Linked DNA regions of Macaca fascicularis. The protein of the gene in region 2 interacts with the protein of the main gene of each other region in a biochemical or structural test. Links are inferred from orthologs where the notes say so. Each region holds a gene or a part of one and is shown on either strand. Other genes may lie near its edges.

Region 1 (4,098 bases), on a different chromosome or scaffold from region 2:
CCCTTTACCTGTTGAACCGAACAATTCCCCAAATGGATACAAAAGTACTCAGAGTCCTTAGTATAACAAAGTCCTGAAAGTAGGAATTAGCAGCAATACAGGGAAAGACAGTAACTACAAAAAATATTCAAGGTCTGTGGGAGGTCAACACCTCTGAACCCCCTGGTGGTGGGGGGGCACTTCTCGCCCATTTGCACCTTTCTTGCTAGTGTAAAAAACCTGAAGTTGTCTCAGGCTGGATAGATAACCCTCACTCAGGTCTGCTGGAGCTCTCCCCCACATATGAATCATATTTGTAGGTTTCTTTGACAACCAACCACTCATTGATATGCTTGGAAGACTGCACCCCCACATTCTTAAAAATACAATGGTACTCCCCCCCATAGGCAAGTCCCCGGACTCTGACACATATCTTCAATTGAAAGCAGACCCAGAAAGGAAAAACTGCATAATACACCATCCTTTAATGTTTGCCCAGAATTTCCAATACTAGAAACCCCACTGCAAAGCAGAAAGACTATTTGGTAGCTTCAAGGAACCATTTCAGGAGATTGTTGTGTGGCCCTCAGTATTCAATGCTGCCTTAGAAGATCTTGCGATCCTCTCTCTTCTTGCCCCAAGTACCAGAGTTCATAAGCCACTGAACCAACCAGAGGGGAGTTATTTTTGGTCCCGGTTTAAAGAAAACAAAACAAGCTGTTGATCCTCCCACGACCTCTTGGGTAATGTCTCTATACCTGTGATAAACCGAAAACAACTAATAAAGGTGTATCCAGCCCTCACCCTCTTAGACCCGCTTCACAGACCTGGCCGAAACTCACATCCAGGCGAGGCTCTCACGTGACCCGTTCTAAACGCGTCACAGGGACACGTGGTTCTAGATACTTCTCCCCCTCCCCCTCAGGGGTGGATTGTTGACAAGGCCGCGGGCAGTCACGTGATCTTACATCATCCCACCTCCTTTCCCTGAAATCCCTGGCCCGGATACGTCCTTCTTTCTCCACCCCGCCGAGCCTAAACTAGAGACGGGGAGGCAGACAGGATAGTGTGTCGGTTTCGTGGTCTCTGAATCCACAACCTCTAGTCTGAACACAGAGAACACAAATTTGTCGATCACTTCAGGAAGCCCAGGAAGAACCACGCCCCGCTGAAGGGCTCAGGGAACGCGCGCTCCCCCGTCCCGCCCCCTCCTCCCCCAGCACTCACTCTGTGGTAGCGGCGGAGGGCGGAGGGATCCGGAGGCGGCGGAGGGAGACGTCATTGCAGGGTTGTTTGTCAGTCTTGGCGGCGGCGGCGGCGGCGGCGGCGGCAGCGGCGATCCACAGTGATTCGGCCGCCGCGCCGGGGGGTGGGGGGGCTGCGCGGGACTCTTTTCTTTCAGACTGACCGCGGGGCAGCTGCGGAGCATGTCGACCCCGGCCCGAAGGAGGCTTATGCGGGATTTCAAGCGGTAAGGGCCTTCAGCTTCGCATAGATGACGGCCTCTCAAAGCTGCGGGGCTGCAGGGCGTGGATCCCGGACACCTTCCCCTTGTGACCCTCAGAGGGCCGGCTGTGGGCCCAGGGGGACTGGCGGAAGCCGGGTCCTACCTCGGCCCCTACTCTCCTTATCCTTGCCGCTCGCTCTGGCGCCCGAAGAAATTTCGATACTGCTTCCCCTCCCCCCAAAAAGTAAAACGATGTCGATCGACTGGTCTAGGGTTCCCCGCTGCCCATTTCGGCCAGCTGCCCGGGGTCTCGTCCAGGGGATCAGACGGGGATCAGACATCATCCTCCCGCCCCTGCACCCTGCGGAGACCCTTTCTTGTCCCCTCAAAGTGAGCTCCCGCGGGAGCTTGTTCTTCTCCGGCAGCACCAGTCAGCTTTGTTTCACGGCCCCTCAGTCTTCTCCGAGGAGCCGGGTTGGGGTGAACCTCCCCAGCCCCCCACCCTCGCCAGTCCTTTCCATTTCTGCCGTGAGGGTGGGGTCCAGTGCGTGAGGCTCGGAGGTTAACCCATCCCCCGAAACCCGACTCTGTCCCCGCCCGCCTGAAAAGACCTTGGGAACTGACTTAGAGATCTGGGACCTTAGAGCTGGCCACCCCGGCTGCCAGTGCCTTCTGGAACTCAGATCTGGCTGGTGAAGAAAGCCCTATCTATAGCCTCCCGAGTCTGGAAAAATGCCTTCCCTTAGACTGGCGCTAATTTGATACTCCCTGGGCCTTCTTTGGTAAATAAAATAGGGTTTTGTTAGGAGGTATTGGGGTTGTGAGGAAGAAAATGATTATTCCGTTAGTTTACCTTTTATTGGATACTTAGAGACGTAGAAAAAACAAAATAACGTAGAAAAAACAAAATAAGTGAGAAAACATTTTGATATTCTGCACATTTTTCTTAAAATTTTTTCTGGGGACACCTACCCTAATTGAACAAAATAGCATAAAAACATAGATTTGTCGCTCAGGAAGTCACCTCTCAGCTATTATAAAGCCTATGTGAGGCATTTGGATTTGGCCAACTTATTTAATTCATTCGTAGCTTCTCTTAGCCATTTAAAGGTAGGCGTCAAGCAGTGCAGTTCCTCTAAGGCTTCTGTTTGTGGTGGCCTAATTTGCTTGAGATTGACTAAAAACCTTTTTTTTTATGTGGACTAGTTGCAAATTATGATGCCCCATGAAAACAACTCCATATGTATTTGTGAGTGTGTATAATGTAGCATTTTTAATTGAGGTTACAGTCTCTGAAAGGAGATGCCCTTTTTGGTGCAAAAGTCATTTTTCTAAAGCTTGAAATCAGTGTATCTGATTAGCACTCATGACTAAAATTCAGATAGTAAACTAGTTCATGTCATTGTCGCCCTGGCTCCTTACTGTAATGCTCTGCTTAATTCTGAGTTGAATACATGGCACCTTTTGTAGTTTTCCAGAGATCTATAGGTTACAAGAATTTGACTATGACGAATGTGGGAAAGCCTTGTATTGAGTCTCCTGATTTGAGAGGTAGATTTGATGTTAGTGCAGAGCCTTTAAAATAGGGACTGGCGGAAAACCTACTGATTACTTTTTAAAGCCATTGCTGTTTGAAGCAAAAGGGATAGAGTAAATCTGCTGCCTAATACTAGTTTCCTAGTTAAATTTAATGTGTTTTCAGTCATTTCGTGTTTACACTGAGGTTTGCTTTTTTTTTTTTTCTTGTAGCCATTTTGCAGAAGTAGCCGTGGTTAGGATACACAGTCTTTGCATGTTTAGAGCAGCAAAATCAATGGTTCTGTAAAAATATTACTTGCTTTTGAGGTTTTAAACTTTTTTTGGTATAAGAGGACAGTCTATATACATCAATTCTTGAAGAGATACTCTTGATAATATTGAAAGAGGGATGATTCTCAAGCCCTTCGGATTTTTAGGTAATTTGGAGAGGTATTTAATAAGTATATATACCTGGTTAATATATCTAAGTCATATGGTTCATTTTAGTTCACAATAACAAGGAAATGGAGTTAGTCTGTGTCTCAAAATAGATGGTGTAGTGTCTGTAGGTGTTTATGTGGCCTCCTTAGTGGCCTTAATGTTCAACTTTTTAAATTACAACGCTGGATTTCTAGGTTACAAGAGGACCCACCTGTGGGTGTCAGTGGTGCACCATCTGAAAACAACATCATGCAGTGGAATGCAGTTATATTTGGGTGAGTTGAAAGGTTTAACAAATAATAGGTGTGTGCTGAATCTTTAAGAAAAGTGAACATATAACAACTGTCTAGGAAAAGAAACTGAGGTAGAATGAGAGATCTTAAGGACTAAAACTGCAAGATAAATTAGAAAAAAATTTTTTTCAATTAGAGTTTTGGCCCAGCACAGTAGCTCAACGCCTGGGAGGATCGCTGGAGCCCAGGAGTTCATCACCAGCCTGGGCGATATAGTGAGACAGTGAGACTCTGTCCCCTCTCCACCAAAAAAAGAGTTTTGGCCCAGTCTGGGCAACATAGTGAGAGACCTTGTCTCTACAAAAAGTATAAAACTAACTGGGCATGGTGGTGCCCAGCTACTTGGAAGGCCGAGGCAGGAGGATCACTTGAGCCCAGAAGTTTGAGGCTGCAGCCAGCTATCCAAAAAAAAAAAAAAAA
Region 2 (4,240 bases):
AATTCTTTTTTTCTGCTCTGCCACTACCTTGTATGACCTTGGTCAAATCCCCCCTGTGGCCCTCAGTGTCCCCCTCTGTACAATACTCCATAGCAGTCATGAGACTCCCTTTACATCCTGTCTTTGGCTCTTTTTTTCTCACACTGTCTCCTCTTTGGATTGGGGATGCTGGAAAGCTGGCTTCCAGTCACCTGGAGTAATTGCATCTCTGGGCCTCAGTCTCCTCATCTGTAAAAATGGGGATGCCCTGGCCACAGACAGGACTGTTGGGGAGGCAATAAAGGAAGAACGCAAATATTCAGTGTAACTCTTCCCCAAGTCTCTTCACACTCACCACATGCAGATCCGGGGTCGGGGCAGCGGCGGCTGCGGAAAGAAAGCGAATTGGGGAAGGCAGCTGTGGTGTCCTGGCCGTCGCGAATCTGCAGCGGGCCCCAGAACTCGCTGTAACTTGCCATCTCATCTCAACGACTAAGAAGGAGAGGCGCGGGCGAGGGCGGGCTTCAGGAGGCCCTAGGTGCTCTATGCGAGCACAATAACCACCAGGGTCACACACCCCTGCCTCTCCTTGCCCAGGCAGCGCGGGAGACGTCCCGAACGTTAGTAAGCATAATGACGATTGGTGCCTGCGGGGGAGCCCGTTTATAAATATTCACGAGCGGACCAGACTGTCCCGCCCTCACCGGGAACAAGTTGGCTCCGGGGTCTTCATCCGCTTTCGCCGCCGCCGCCGCCGTCGACTGGGTCCGCACACTCGCTCGCGTCCGCGCGGCCGACCCACGCGCTGAGATGCGATCCTTCCCCGCTTCCCGCCGCAGCTCGGAGAGATGTTCAAGTTCCGACTGCACCCTCATTCCCAAAAAGTGGCTGGTCTTGCGGTTGAGCATCTCGCCGCTCTTCCGTGCCGCGGCGCGCCCCGGGCTCCCGCCGCCTCGGTTCCAGGACAGCCAGCGCTCGGTCTGAGGCTACCAAGGCCGGGCCCGCTAGCCTTGCTCCGGCCAATCTGCGCGCCGAGAGGCGCGGCGGAGCGAATCCGTGGGGGCGTCTCCCTCCGTCTCAACGGCGACGGTTGCCAAGGGGGCTTGTGAAGGAATGAAGGCGGGAAACGCAAGCTCACGCCAGTGGGTGCGAAGAGAACGCGCAGATACGTAAGAAGTTGCGAGTGCCCACCTGAGCACCCTCTCTTCCAAGTTGTTAATACGAGGGCCGGCGCTGTCCTCAAGGCCGGGAAGTGGGAGCTTGGTGTCAGTTACTATGGGAACTGCCTCTTGGCCAATCACCGAGAGAAAGAGAAGGTGTTTGGGAAGAAGCCAGAGGACCCGAGAGGCGGGACCAAGCGTAACCAATAGAAGCAGAAGATAATGAAGTTTCCTCACATCCGGGGCTGCCTCCGGCGCCTGCGCCCTGCGCACCGTTGGGGGGGCCAGCAACGTCCAGTGACGTCCGGTGAAATCCAAGATGGCGGCGCTAGGCTGACCCTGTTGCTGGTGAGGGCTCTGGCGCCGGCGGGGACGGGATCCAGCAGGTGTGTGCGGGGTGGAGGGTGTTTGGGGCTGTGGAACACCAGCCGTTCCCACATCTCTGCTCTCTGTCTTCTGCAGGTGACGGAAGTACCGCCTCCTCCCGTCTGACGCCCCTCAGGGGACCCTGCGCCGCTCCAGCCGCCGCGGCCATGTCTGGGCTAGGCAACAAACGCGCCGCCGGCGACGGGGGCTCAGGGCCCCCGGAGAAGAAGCTGAGTCGTGAGGAGAAGACCACCACCACTCTTATCGAGCCCATTCGTCTTGGAGGCATCTCTTCCACGGTTCTTGGGCTCTTGCCTTAACCCTCAGAATTTCCCAGAGCCCTCCCTCTGTTCCCTGGCCAAATTGTCCAGAATCTTACACCCACTTCCCCAAGTTTAGCAAGGTCCGCGTTACAGGATACTCTGTTGAAAGAAGCCGAGAACACGACGCCTGTCTTCCCTTTACAGATAGGAAAACAGGTTCCCAGGGGGCGTGTGACTTGTCAAAGACTAAGGAGTTAGAAGGGGACAGGCAGAAACAACGTGAGCCTCCTCACAACCAAGACACTTTCGCTGTGGGTTGTGTGAGCCTCCTTAGATTCTGTTAGCGGTTAGTGTGGGAATACCCCCATCTCCCATGCATTCCAGATGCTCTGCTCCTCTCTTTCTGTGTGATTGGTTTCTGGGCTCTGCTTGATATTCTCGTCGGCCCCTTTGTTTCCTTTGGTAGGAGGAGATGGACCTGAAGGTACTACAGTTCAAGAACAAAAAACTGGCAGAGCGGCTGGAACAACGGCAGGCTTGTGAAGATGAACTCCGAGAACGAATTGAGAAGTTGGAGAAGCGGCAGGCCACAGATGATGCCACACTCCTCATCGTCAATCGCTACTGGGCCCAGGTGGATGCCTTCTGCTTTCCAAGACCAGGCCTTGATTCAGCTGCCAATCCCCAGATTCCCCTGCTGGAAAAGGGGTATAATGTTGGAAAGCATTAAGGGATTCATAACATTTTTGATGCTTTCTCCTTCCAGCTGGATGAAACTGTGGAAGCCCTTCTCCGATGCCATGAGGGCCAGGGGGAGCTGTCTTCAGCGCCTGAAGCACCTGGGACCCAGGAGGGGCCCACATGTGATGGGACTCCTCTCCCAGAGCCGGGGACATCAGAGCTGAGGGGTGAGACCAGAGTTCTGGGATCTAGGGAGCTTCAGTTCTGGGAAAAGTCCTGGGGAGGAGGGGACTTTGGTGTTGGGCCTCTGAATTGCCTGCCTTACTACTCCCCACGAAATGGATTTCATGTTTGGGTGGTAAAGTGCAGTGCACAAAAATACAGGCTTTGGACTCTGACTAACTTGGTTTATAGAGCAATTCATGTTTTGACACCCATTTGTTTGGAAACAGTATTACGGTTGAGTGTTAACTATGTATTTGACGCTTTCTAGAAATGGGTACTTGCTCATTGCATTTGCTATGAGGGAGGAAATTACAAACATAGTAAGCAGAAAGTACTGGGGCTCTTGAAAGGGAATAATTGTGTGTGCACATGTGTGTGTGTGTGAGATTCTAATTTTTATTGGGAAAGTACAGGAGGCATCTCTGAGGATGTGATACGCAACTCTGTAGCTTTGAGGAAATTACTTTACCTCCCTGAACCTCATTTGTCTCACTTTCAGGATGGAGATAATAGTGCACTATAGGTTGTGTTGATTAAGTGAGCCATGAATATTGAAGGGCTCAGTCTGGAACTTAGTACAGAGTGGTGGTAACTGCTGCTATTATCCTCATGAGGGTCTGTCCATTCCTTCCAGAGCCCTTGCCATTGCAGCTGCGGCCCCCTCTCAGTGAGCCGGCCTTGGCTTTTGTGGTGGCACTGGGTGCCAGCAGCAGTGAGGAGGTGGAGCTGGAGCTGCAAGGCCGAATGGAGTTCTCTAAGGCAGCTGTGTCTCATGTGGTAGAGGCCTCAGACCGCCTACAGCGCCGGGTGGAGGAACTCTGTCAGCGAGTGTATAGCCGAGGTGGGTTCTTTGTGCCCATACCCAAGAGGTGTCCATCCCTACCTGCATCTTGATGGCACCCCTTTCCAATTCCCCTAATGCCCAAGTCCAAGGGTGGCCAGAATTCCCCAAGGAATATATCAGCCACGTTCTTGGGAGGGGTAGGTTAGGCTGTAGATGGGGGTTCCAACTTTGATTCCTGGACTGAATGCTAGAGAGATGGGTTGGAGGAGCTGTTGATGCTAGTAGAGCCTCCTGTCCAGAGGCCCCTCTGGAGCACTTTGTGTGGGTTGCAGATCCACAAGGCATAGCTTCAAGGGCTCAGGCCTTGTAGGTTGACAGGCTTCTCCCACTTCAGTTCTGCCACCCTCACCTGGACGTGCTGGGAAAGTGGCTCCCCTCTCTGAGCTGGTTTCCTCCTCTGTGCAGTGGAGATAAAGACTCCTAGCTTTGTCATGAGAAATTGGCAAGACAGCCGGGGGATCACACTGGGCACATAGCAGACTCCAGAATGAGTTAGTTCTTTGCCCCATTGCCCTGAGCTGGACTCTTAACCTGGGCCCTGCTTTCCCAGGGGACAGTGAGCCCCTCAGTGAGGTGGCTCGGGCACGCACCCGAGAGCTGGGCCGTGAGAACCGGCGACTGCAGGACTTGGCCACCCAGCTGCAGGAGAAACACCACCGCATCTCATTGGAGGTGAGGAGCCAGGGGCTTTGGGAGTGGGATTAGAATCAGGCAGGATTTGG
Region 3 (3,421 bases), on a different chromosome or scaffold from region 2:
CGCTAAGGCCAAGTCGCGCTCGTCCCGCGCTGGCCTCCAGTTCCCGGTGGGGCGAGTGCACCGCTTGCTGCGCAAGGGCAACTACGCGGAACGGGTGGGGGCAGGCGCCCCGGTGTACCTGGCGGCGGTCCTCGAGTACCTGACCGCGGAAATTCTGGAGCTAGCAGGCAACGCGGCTCGGGACAACAAGAAGACGCGCATCATCCCTCGCCATCTGCAACTAGCCGTGAGGAATGACGAAGAGCTCAACAAGTTACTCGGGGGTGTCACCATTGCCCAGGGCGGCGTCTTACCCAATATCCAGGCTGTCCTGTTGCCCAAGAAAACGGAGAGTCACAAGCCTGGCAAGAACAAGTAATTAAGAGGCTTGACACCATACTCATTCACCCCAAAGGCTCTTTTAAGAGCCACCAAAGTGTCAAATGAAGGGCTGATCACGAAATAGCGCATTAGCTCTTTTTTTGAAAACTTGGGTGGCTCTAAAAAGAGCCTTTGGTCTTTGGTTTGTTTGTCTGCATTTATTTGCTTTTGGCTTTGTGGCTTTCAGTTTTCTTTGGTAACAGAACGGCCTGGATGTTAGGCAAAACGCCGCCCTGGGCGATGGTGACTTTGCCCAGCAGCTTGTTCAGTTCCTCGTCGTTGCGGATGGCCAGCTGGAGGTGACGAGGGATGATGCGCGTCTTCTTGTTGTCCCGAGCCGCGTTGCCCGCCAGCTCCAGGATCTCGGCGGTCAGGTACTCGAGGACCGCCGCCATGTAGACTGGCGCGCCAGCCCCCACCCGCTCCGCGTAGTTGCCTTTGCGCAGCAAGCGGTGCACTCGCCCTACCGGGAACTGGAGGCCAGCGCGGGACGAGCGCGACTTGGCCTTGGCGCGAGCCTTGCCTCCTTGTTTGCCACGACCAGACATGACTGAAACCAAGGTTAAACACAGACAATGCTCAGAACCTCGCTACAAAATAAGCTTGAAAGAGAACCAAGAGGAAAGCCTTTATAAGCTTTCCTAGGGGTGGGGTCTAGAACGAGTTTTTCATTGGTCCTAATATGGCTTCAGAACCGGCCAATCAAGTCAAGAGTCGGTGTTGTTGCGTACGCATTGCTGAAAACGCAAGGTCCGCACACGGACCAATGGAAATGAATGACTTTCGGAGCCCTAATTTGCATAAGGTGGTTATAAAAGAATCAGGCCCGCCCATTCTCTTACTTCTTTTCTTGGCTAAGCCGCGTTTGTACTGTGTCTTACCATGCCTGAACCGGCAAAATCCGCTCCGGCTCCTAAAAAGGGCTCCAAGAAAGCCGTCACCAAAGCCCAGAAGAAAGACGGCAAGAAGCGCAAGCGCAGCCGCAAGGAGAGCTACTCCATCTACGTGTACAAGGTGCTGAAGCAGGTCCACCCCGACACCGGCATCTCGTCCAAGGCCATGGGCATCATGAACTCCTTCGTCAACGACATTTTCGAGCGCATCGCGGGAGAGGCGTCCCGCCTGGCGCACTACAACAAGCGCTCCACCATCACGTCCCGCGAGATCCAGACGGCCGTGCGCCTGCTGCTGCCCGGCGAGCTGGCCAAGCACGCCGTGTCCGAGGGCACCAAGGCAGTCACCAAGTACACCAGCTCCAAGTGAGTCCCTGCCGGGACCTGGCGCTCGCTCGCTCGAGTCGCCGGCTGCTTGACTCCAAAGGCTCTTTTCAGAGCCACCCACCTAATCACTAGAAAAGAGCTTGTTCACTTACTCCCTTAGTTTCTTCTCATAAAGTAATTTTAGCGTAAAGGTCATGGGAAATGCCACACGTAGGTTTTTAACCATTTGGAACTTGAGGTCCCCGGTGCATGATTGGATTTGCTTTTGAATCTAGAGCGTGTCTTCACTCATTGTGCTGCTTAGCATTCCCAGGAGTCGGTTCTCAATTAGGATGTTGGGAATCCGCCTCTTTACCCGCCCCCACTCCCGCCCCACACTGGCGCCCTGGTGGCTTCTTGGGTCTGTTTCATTCTAAAACGAAGTGGCTGAGTTCGGCTGTTATTTAAGAGAACTCCAGGGCACGATTCAGCCCAGGTTCCGCAAACACTGCGTGACAGCTGTGTATGACTGACGCTTGGCAGCACCTTTTGTGTCCGGTCACCAGTTCTGCTGTGCGATGGGGTCTCCTGTGGATACCAGCCGTTCTGTGTATTTTGGACGAAGCCCGCGCAGCCGGGTCCCAGCCTTTTCCTGATTGGGCGACATGAATATTCAAAATTCTGCGCCTCTTTCTAATTTGTAGATTTCAGTTTCCGTCGTTCACTTTGAGACTTTGAAATTCCTATTTCTCGTTTTGTTGATAATTTTTGCATTTAATGGTCTCTGCTTTAAAGGGTAAGGCTGCGGCCCCAGGTCACTGCGAGGCACTTACCGTGTAGATACGGGCTCAAAAGTCACCTGTCAGAGATCTACGTCATCCACTAAGGAATTCGCGCCGCTCATACTTGCCTGTCTCATTTTATCTTCCTTCTAGCAGCTGTCTGAAATTGGTTCGTCTGTTTTCTTGTTTATGGTATTCTCAAGCCCTTGACCGGCTGGTGTGGTTTTCCCGTGCATCTTCAGCCTGGCACATTATGGACACTTACCTAAATACTACGTATTGATGTAATATTGTTGGGTTAGTTTTTCCATCCCATCGTTTTCTTAATCGCTTTCGTGGATGGATGATGGGTGCTGTTCATTTCCGTTAGATGTATGTGAAGGCACGGTGAAAATGGAAATGTTTTTGGAGCTACTTCCTCAAATGTGTCCTTAGTCACCTCAGTGCAACAGCTGGGAGGGGGCCGTGTTAAGATTTTTTTTGCATCAAAGAGGAGGTGGCAATGGTAGATCCACCCTTACGCTTCCCAGTTTAGCATAACCTCTTTTGGATTTTCATCAAATTCAGCGTATTGGTCACTGGAAAGAGCCTTTTCCTTCTTTTCTTACTCTCCCCTCTTGGTGTTCCCCTCTTAAAGGAGAGGAGCTTTTAATTGACAGTCATCACCTCATTTTTTTTTTTTTTTTTTTTTTTTTTTTTTTTTTTTTTTTTTTTTGAGACGGAGTCTCACGCTGTTGCCCAGGCTGGAGTGCAGTGGCGCGATCTCGGCTCACTGCAAGCTCCGCCTCCCGGGTTCCCGCCATTCTCCTGCCTCAGCCTCCTGAGTAGCTGGGACTACAGGCGCCCGCCACCGCGCCCGGCTAATTTTTTGTATTTTTAGTAGAGACGGGGTTTTTTTTCACTGTGGTCTCGATCTCCTGACCTTGTGATCCGCCCGCCTCGGCCTCCCAAAGTGCTGGGATTACAGGCTTGAGCCACCGCGCCCGGCCATCATCACCTCATTTGCTTTCCAGGAGGCCATGCAAGATAGGCAGGACTACAGGGTTAATCTCCTTTTTACAAATGAGGCCAAGGGAAGCC
Region 4 (4,294 bases), on a different chromosome or scaffold from region 2:
TCTTCTGGACATCTTCACGGGGATGTCTCACCAGTCCCATGAACTCAGTAAGTCCCACCCAAAATTTCCTCTCCCAAACTTGTCCCTCTCTCTCTATTCTGTAATTCTGTTAATGGCACCTTCAAATCCCCAGTTATCTTGGGGCTTAGAGTTTCAGCCTCTGTTGACTCCTTCCTCTCTCTTGCCTCCATATTCAACCTGTTGCCAAGTCCTCCCCATTCATTCATATCCTACTTGCCTTTACTGTCACTGCCTGGTTCAGTATCTCACACCTAGATACTGCAAGAGTCTCCTGCCTGCTCTCTTGAGACCAATCTCTGATAAGCACAGCTCTAATGATGTCACTTCCCTGCTTAATGGACTTCCAAGGAATCCATTAGCTTGGCATTCAAAACTCTTGATGACTTAACCCAAACCTACCTTTCTCCTATTTTCAATAATTTTTAAATGTGTATTATGCCTATCTTCTAAGTTATTTTGGGTTGACCTTTAAAAATTATCCTTTAAAACTGTTACTGCTTTTGCAGGTCCACGGACTGTGACTCTTCCCGCAACCTGCAGCTTTTCCACGTTCCTTTTACTTCAGACCCACTGTCCTTGCAACTCCCTGCAGTCGGATAGTCTCATACTGTGGACTCTTCTGAACATATAATAGCCGCTCGGCTTGTTGAACTACCAAGGGAAAATGTGGTTCCAGAGCCAAATTGTGAGTGCCCAAAGCAAAACAAAACAAAACAAAACCCTACTCTGCCTGCCTTAAGCTCCCATTCCCTCCCACAGGACATACAACACCATTTCATTCTGCCCAGGGGTGATCATTGGCCTAAACGTTGAGCGCCCAATCCTGCATTCAATCCCACAGCCCCGCCCCGCCCGCCGGTCATAGTCAAGGCCAATTTATTCTTTTGATTTTTCGTGATTTTAACCAATCACTCTGCTCCGCACCCCTCCGACCCCAATCTCCGGTGTCCGCAGGGATTGGGCACCCTAGAGTTGCCGCTTTTTGAGAACCGGTTTTACCTCCGCCCACTCCTTCGTCCTCTAGTTTGGGACTTCCAAACTTCTCCCCCCTCCTCCCCGGGCATAGTGCGCGCTCTCATGAATGATCTGGTCACAAAACAAAAAAGAAGAGAAAAAGAAAAAAAGGAAGAAAAAAAGAGAAAAAGAAAAAAAGCCGAAAACTTCCCAGGGTTTGCCTTAGAATTAGCAGGTGGGGATGGACCCCGTTCCACCACGAGGTCCTCCAGCGCCCCGGGCTCCAGCGTACCCCACGCCTCTGAGCTCGCGGCCCCGCCCCCGGCCTCCTGCGGGGCTTTAATGACATAAGCAACTTTCCTCGCGCACCCCCCGCCCCGTCTTGGTACGGCCTGTCCGGCGCTCGACGTTCCACCCCCCTCTCTCTGCTCTCAGGTTGGTTCAGCCCCCGTCTACACTGGGGTGGTGCTTAGCCGGCGCCAGACCGACCCTCGACTTCGGAGAGGCAGCGCGGTGCCTCTGGGTGCTTCCGCCTCCCCTTCTCCGGCTTCTCCAGCGTCCTCGGCCTCGTCGCCCGCCGCGGGAACCCGAGACCCCAGTGTATGCCCCACCCCTGACCCCGCTCGCGACATGTCCACTCCGGCTCGGCGGCGCCTCATGCGGGACTTCAAGAGGTAAACCGAGGGGACGGCCGAGGCCGGGGGTTGCGAGCCGGGGCACAGGGCGGGTCCCGAGGCGCGCCGGGCGGGGAGGGCTGGGGAGCGGCCGGGAGCGGGCGCCAGTGCCGGCCTAGGGGGACCCCTGTCTGTCTTCCCGAAGGTTGCAGGAGGATCCTCCAGCCGGAGTCAGCGGGGCTCCGTCCGAGAACAACATAATGGTGTGGAACGCGGTCATTTTCGGGTGAGTCTGCGTTCGTGGCGGTGGCGAGAGAACCGGGTACGCGAGCCCTCTCGGTCTGCGCTCCAAGGCGGGCCCCCCGTGGAGGCCGAGGGGGTAGGGGAAAATGTTTGGGTCTGGCTGGGCCTAGGCGCCTCCCCGGAGCCTGTGCCTCGATTAGCTCAGTTCCCGCTGCCAGGGGGAACCGCTTGGGGTTCTAGGGGGGCGGGGCGGGGAGTGGTGGCGGTTAGGCGCGGCGGCCTGCCCTGTGTCTCTGAGCCCGGGACATCTATTTGTAGTGGCTTTCGACTCCGGCAGCGGTGCGGGAGGTGGCAGAGCTCGGGATAGCCATCTCAGATGAAGCAGGGAGAAGGGGGCCCCTTAAGTGGGAACTGACCATTTTTCTCTGTGTTGCAGGCCTGAAGGGACCCCGTTTGAGGATGGTAAGAGAGAGTTTCTTTACCCACTTTTCAGGAGCCTGATCATCTGGGGAATGGGTTCCCACTCATCCTGGAAGTGTCTCCTGCTTAGGAACCTGGCTGTGCCTAGTCTCTGTCTGCTAAAGGCTTGAGTGGAATGCAGTGTGTAGCTGGTCGTTCTGGATATTGTATGCTTGACTAGAACTGCACCTTTCTTCTTGTTTTCTTAAAAAAAAATCTGGGGAAGGCAGTCACTTTTTAAAAGGAGCAATCATAGCACTGATATTAAGGATTTTTGAGGCTTGGGCTGTGATTCTGCTAAATTCAGCCCTCCATCACTGAATTAGTATAAACCCAACCAGTTGCTGATAGTCAGCAGAAACACCAGAGACCATCTGGTTCAGAATTCTACCCCAAGGGCAGGAATTGTGGTCAGCAGGTGCTTGGTAGATGTGTGTTGGATGTTGAGTGGATGCAAGCGTCCCTTCCATTCAACTGTCTGGTTTCTACAATCTGACATTGAATGCCTGTCAGCCTCACTTCTCTAAGATGGTCTTAAATGCCTCATTTGAGTACAGTATTGTTTCTTATTTTTAAGTGAATTTACAGTGTGTGCTTTCATCAAGACGTTATGATCAGTAATTTCAAAGCAGCTTCACAATTGAAGTTAGCCTCACTGTACCCTTTTGATCAGTGTCCCGCCTACTTGAAAGTACTACATGTACCAGTAGGTACATAATTTTTAAGTGATTTAGGTTTAACTTTTAAAAACACATGTGTAAATTGCTTTTTTAAAACTTTATGATTTTAGATAATTATAGATTCATATGCAGTTGCAAGAAATTAAGAGAGACACCCTTTATACCCTTAACCCAGTCCTCTCCCCAAACCCTCCCGTTTGGTAACATCTTGAATGACTAGACCCTATCACAACCAGAAAAATGACATTGATAGTTCTGCACTCAGTTGTGTGTGTGGTGTGTGTGTGTTGTTGTTTTTTGAAAGTTTAATACATTTAAAGGATGATTAAAGTATTTGAACTTATGAAATTCTTTAATATTTGAGGTTTTTAAAAAAAGGAAAAGGATGTTTCTGTTATTTTTTTTCCTCAATGATTTATCTTCATTCGGTCACATAGCATTTATACACACACACACACTTCAGTTTGAAGGTGGGAACAAAAACATTTCTGCAAACTACTTAATACATACTTATGTTGCTGAGCCGGATTGCTTTTTGATGCTACCAGTCCGCAAAATGTTGTGAGGTAAGTCAATATCAACTAAGTCTATAATTCATCTCAAGTAGTTAGATTTCTCCAGGAAACTGTGGACAGTCACCTGAATATTTTTAGCTTCCTCTCTACCTTTACCCCCTGGGTAAATATCATTGTTCTTCAGGGCTGCAATGAAAAGAAATGACAGCAGGAGACAGTGATTGTAAGGGCATACTACTTTGGTGCAGTTAATCATTTGAGCTGATTTGTAGCAAGAAACTATAGCTAGACTTAAATTTTCCTCTACCAGATTGGCACTAGTTATTTATTTATTTATTTATTTATTTATTTATTTTTGAGACGGAGTCGTGCCCTGTCACCCAGGCTGGAGTGCGATGGCGCGATCTCAGCTCACTGCAACCTCCACCTCCTGGGTTCAAGTGATTCTCCTGCCTCAGCCTCCTGAGTAGCTGGGATTACAGGTGCACGACACCACGCCCGGCTAATTTTTTGTATCTTTAGTAGAGATGGGGTTTCACCATGTTGGCCAGGCTGGTCTCAAACTCCTGACCTTAGGATCCACCCGCCTTGGCCTCCCAAAGTGCTGGGACTACAGGCTTGAGCCACCGTACTCAGCCAGCACTAGTTCTTTATACCTGAGATTTAAATGTACAGATTAACTGTGTATTTGCTTTAGCTCTAGTAGGCTTTGTTTTCATTGGCTTCTTTTTTCCTCGTTTTACTCTGTTTTATGCTGGGCACAGCTTTATTAATAGTACATCGCTTTGCTGGGGATTGGCTACCTAAA
Region 5 (3,538 bases), on a different chromosome or scaffold from region 2:
TCTGGAATGGAAGTATAATGGTGCAAAGACTCTTGCAACCCTCTGGCTAGCCTCATGAGCAGGAGACTGCGTGGGATACCTGGGCCTAAATGTAGAATAAGAAAGAAGAAATAAGGATGGTGAGGAGGCCTTCCATGTGAGAATAGGTTCAGGCCTAGCTTCCTGTTCCAGCCACATAAAGGAGAGTGGGCCACACTGGGTGTGCTTACCTCTGAACACACAGCTCACTTAGTCAGTGTGGCCCAGTGAGAAGGTCAGATTCTGATTTATTCCGATAAGTGTTCTCTGGGTAATATGGGGGTGGGGGGTTTAGAGTGATACAAAGATTGTTACCACATATATTACAAAGGACTTAGTTTTTTTGTTTTGTTTTGTTTTTCTTTAAAATTAATTGCTTCCCTCTTTTACAGCCCAGCCATCTAATCAGTCTCCAATGTCTTTAACGTCTGATGCGTCATCCCCAAGATCATATGTTTCTCCAAGAATAAGCACACCTCAAACTAACACAGTCCCTATCAAACCCTTGATCAGTACTCCTCCTGTTTCATCACAGCCAAAGGTATGTCACCTTTGAGGGATATTTGGGAAAGAAACTACTTTTGGAAAATCAATAACATTTTAGAATCTGTTACAGAAAAAGCTCTATGAGAATGAGGTGTAGTGGTGGAATGGATGACAGGTATGATAGTAGATGCAGCCTAGAATTTCTCAGTTCACTGAGGGATAGAGGGGGGCTTTGAATCTGTGCTGCTTTAATACACCTTCTGAGTCTGTTCCCTAATGGTTTTGGGATTTGTCACATGGAGAGTGAGATAAAGAGGGTATACTGTGAGTCTTAATATTTGTAGAATTTTCAGACTCCAAAAGACATGAGTGAACATGTTTTCCAGCAACTTTGCCATATTTGTATTTCAAAAATGAGGCAGTTTTTGTGCTAAGAACTTAATGTATGTTCAACTTTCACATCATGAGCATCACTTGCTTCATTTAATAGATAAGAAAATCAGACTCTCAGTTAAGTCTAGTTTTTGTGGTAGAGTCAGAATTTGAAACCTAGGTGTTTGTGAATACAGGGACCCATTTTACTAAGCTTATATTGCCTGTATTTGTCCCAGCAGAATCTCACATGGTTGGCTCCATAGGTGCAGTTAGAAAATTTCTGGGCTAAATGGTAAATATAGGGGGAATTTCTTTTGAGTAGTTTTGAAACAGTGGGCTGTTTCAAACTTTTTAATGCCAAACAATTATTTGTAAGATCTTAAGCAGCAGCCCAAAAATAAAAATGCATTGAAATACAACTTGAAAGAGGTGGTTGGTCAGCTTTTAAGTCTTCCCGTTTGTTCATCCCTTCCCTACCTTGGCCATTGATCAATGCATGTTTTAGGGCCAATTTAGATTGATTTTTAAAATTCCAAGTTACAGTTGTTAGTTTGTCATGCAGTTCCTTATCATTCACCAGTATTTTAAGGAGGAAAGAATTAAAATGTGAGTTTCAGCAAAAGATAGGTTATTTTTGGAGCTTAGAACTTTTCTTCAGGGTGATATTTTAAGAGTATAGTAAATAGTGGTTAAAAGTGAAATAAGTGGCAGTATTGGTTTTATAGTCACTTGTAAACTGAGCATTTCAACTCCTTTAAGCAGGCTGGGCGCAGTGGCGCACACCCATAATTACAGCACTTAGGAGGCCAGGGCAGGAGGATTCAGTTAGGCCCTGGGCAATACAGCAAGACCCCATCTCTACAAAAATAATTTGAAAATTTACTGGGGGAGGCCGAGGCAGGCAGATCACTTGAGGCCAGGAGTTTGAAAAAAGCCTGGCCAACAGGCAAAACCCAGTCTCTACTAAAATTACCAAAATTAGTGGCACAGACCTATAATCCCAGCTACTCAGGAGGCTGAGGCATGAGAATCACTTGACCTGGAAAGTGGAGGTGCAGTTGAGCCAAGATCACGCCACTGCACTCCAGCCTGGGCGAGAGAGCAAAACTCTGTCTTTAAAAAACAACAACAAAAAAAACTTATTTGGGCATGGCAATTTGTACTACTCAGGAGGCTGGGGTGGGGGAATCACCTGAGCCTGGGAATTCAAGGTTGGAGTGAGCCAAGATCACGTCACTCTGCACTCCAGACTAGGCAACCAGACTAAGACCCTGTCTCGAAGAAAAAAAAAAAAAGTCCTTTAAACAGATAGCTATCAGTTTTTTGTGTTCCGAAAACTTCTTCAAGTTGTTTTTAAAATAATTGAACATTTGAGCTTTTAGTGCTTACTAAAATGTTCTTTATAAGACTTGACTAGAATTGATAGGTAATATTCAGAAGTTAAGCAGGACGTTCCAGATTTGTTAGGGAGAATTATTAATCATATCCCCTCACCCCACCAAAAGAAAAACAGCAGTGAGGTGTGGCTTATCACAAAGGACTCCATCTGCCTTTGTGCCTCAATTTAGAGCTTATATTTTAAACTGCTTATTTTCTCTCTGTGGCTTCTGAATATAATATGTATCCTGATTGGCAATCATGGACTTCAGTCTACCTCTGTAGAGTAACATCTCTTTGAAAAACACTCATGATGAACTTTATATGGGCCATAACTCATTTTCTGATAGCCGAATCACATTGTTTCTCCATGTCATTAAAATCTAAGCATCCATATGTGTATGATGTGGTAGCATACATATTTACTTTTATTGATATAAAAGTAACAAATCAGAAGAGATAATAATGTATTGGAAAGAAAACTGAGTTGTAAAGGAGGAGAGCTAGTTTCTTACACTGGTTTGATAGGGAAGTAATTTTATGACCTTGGGCCATTTTTACAAAGAAATGAGATACCGAAGTTTTAGAACTTGACAGTCTTCTTTAAAACACCATATTTTACATGTTCTAAGACGATTACCTAGATTTTGGGGGGAGAGATGTGGATTAGATTTGGAGACCATCTCACCAGATTTTGACATTTCAGGTTAGTACTCCAGTAGTTAAGCAAGGACCAGTGTCACAGTCAGCCACACAGCAGCCTGTAACTGCTGACAAGCAGCAAGGTCATGAACCTGTCTCTCCTCGAAGTCTTCAGCGCTCAAGGTACGTCGATATTGTATATTGAGACCACATTGTTTTGTTTAATGATAGTATACTGGTATATTGCATTGTTTGAAGATGTATCTGTAAAATATAACAACTTTAAACTCCATGAATACTCTAAAGTAGGCTTATATGTTGTAAAATTTACAAAGACAAACCTGTATACAAGAGGTAGGTTATTGTCTCTAGTAGTAAAGCCCGGGTTATTTTGAAGAAAGTGGCTCTTTAAAATTTTACACAGTGGAATATGATGGGGTAAAGATTTGTGATACTTGTACCAGAAAGGCACATGATTTTACAATATTTGTTGGAATTACATTGCTTTGTAACCTCCTCATAGCAGTTTTGGTTTGAGTATATTGATGAAAGCCAAAGTCTCCTATCTAAAACTTGGGCCGATGTTTCCCGTGTATGTCAGGCTTTCCCAGTAGCTTAACTGTGACCCTATACAGATGAC

What was found.
Region 1: the proteins of RNF40 (region 2) and UBE2B form a complex in vitro, tested with the Homo sapiens proteins (3 studies listed by BioGRID). The link is inferred for Macaca fascicularis from reciprocal best matches to the Homo sapiens genes RNF40 and UBE2B.
Region 3: of the proteins of RNF40 (region 2) and H2BC21, one has a biochemical effect on the other in vitro, tested with the Homo sapiens proteins (2 studies listed by BioGRID). The link is inferred for Macaca fascicularis from reciprocal best matches to the Homo sapiens genes RNF40 and H2BC21.
Region 4: the proteins of RNF40 (region 2) and UBE2A form a complex in vitro, tested with the Homo sapiens proteins (3 studies listed by BioGRID). The link is inferred for Macaca fascicularis from reciprocal best matches to the Homo sapiens genes RNF40 and UBE2A.
Region 5: the proteins of RNF40 (region 2) and WAC form a complex in vitro, tested with the Homo sapiens proteins (2 studies listed by BioGRID). The link is inferred for Macaca fascicularis from reciprocal best matches to the Homo sapiens genes RNF40 and WAC.

What each region holds. Positions count from the first base shown.
Region 1 is NC_088380.1:140,910,720-140,914,817, forward strand, and holds the start of UBE2B (ubiquitin-conjugating enzyme E2 B), read left to right. Parts: upstream 1-1,277; 5' UTR 1,278-1,406; coding exon 1,407-1,450; intron 1,451-3,579; coding exon 3,580-3,660; intron 3,661-4,098. UniProt on the Homo sapiens protein: E2 ubiquitin-conjugating enzyme that accepts ubiquitin from the ubiquitin-activating enzyme E1 and transfers it to a E3 ubiquitin-protein ligase. In vitro catalyzes 'Lys-11'-, as well as 'Lys-48'- and 'Lys-63'-linked polyubiquitination.
Region 2 is NC_088394.1:28,931,109-28,935,348, forward strand, and holds the start of RNF40 (E3 ubiquitin-protein ligase BRE1B), read left to right. Parts: upstream 1-1,438; 5' UTR 1,439-1,525; intron 1,526-1,601; 5' UTR 1,602-1,672; coding exon 1,673-1,804; exon of another isoform or gene 1,805-2,114; intron 2,115-2,234; coding exon 2,235-2,402; intron 2,403-2,534; coding exon 2,535-2,676; intron 2,677-3,308; coding exon 3,309-3,515; intron 3,516-4,068; coding exon 4,069-4,190; intron 4,191-4,240. Other genes in the region: CFAP119 (cilia- and flagella-associated protein 119), read right to left, coding at 335-366, 684-887.
Region 3 is NC_088375.1:111,389,249-111,392,669, forward strand, and holds H2BC21 (histone H2B type 2-E), read left to right. Parts: upstream 1-1,200; 5' UTR 1,201-1,242; coding exon 1,243-1,623; 3' UTR 1,624-2,903; downstream 2,904-3,421. Other genes in the region: H2AC21 (histone H2A type 2-B), read left to right, coding at 1-358; H2AC20 (histone H2A type 2-C), read right to left, coding at 519-908. UniProt on the Homo sapiens protein: Core component of nucleosome. Nucleosomes wrap and compact DNA into chromatin, limiting DNA accessibility to the cellular machineries which require DNA as a template.
Region 4 is NC_088395.1:125,912,763-125,917,056, forward strand, and holds the start of UBE2A (ubiquitin-conjugating enzyme E2 A), read left to right. Parts: upstream 1-1,456; 5' UTR 1,457-1,605; coding exon 1,606-1,649; intron 1,650-1,794; coding exon 1,795-1,875; intron 1,876-2,268; coding exon 2,269-2,294; intron 2,295-4,294. UniProt on the Homo sapiens protein: E2 ubiquitin-conjugating enzyme that accepts ubiquitin from the ubiquitin-activating enzyme E1 and transfers it to a E3 ubiquitin-protein ligase. In vitro catalyzes 'Lys-11', as well as 'Lys-48'-linked polyubiquitination.
Region 5 is NC_088383.1:29,309,947-29,313,484, forward strand, and holds part of WAC (WW domain-containing adapter protein with coiled-coil), read left to right. Parts: exon of another isoform or gene 1-253; intron 254-410; coding exon 411-559; intron 560-2,962; coding exon 2,963-3,081; intron 3,082-3,538.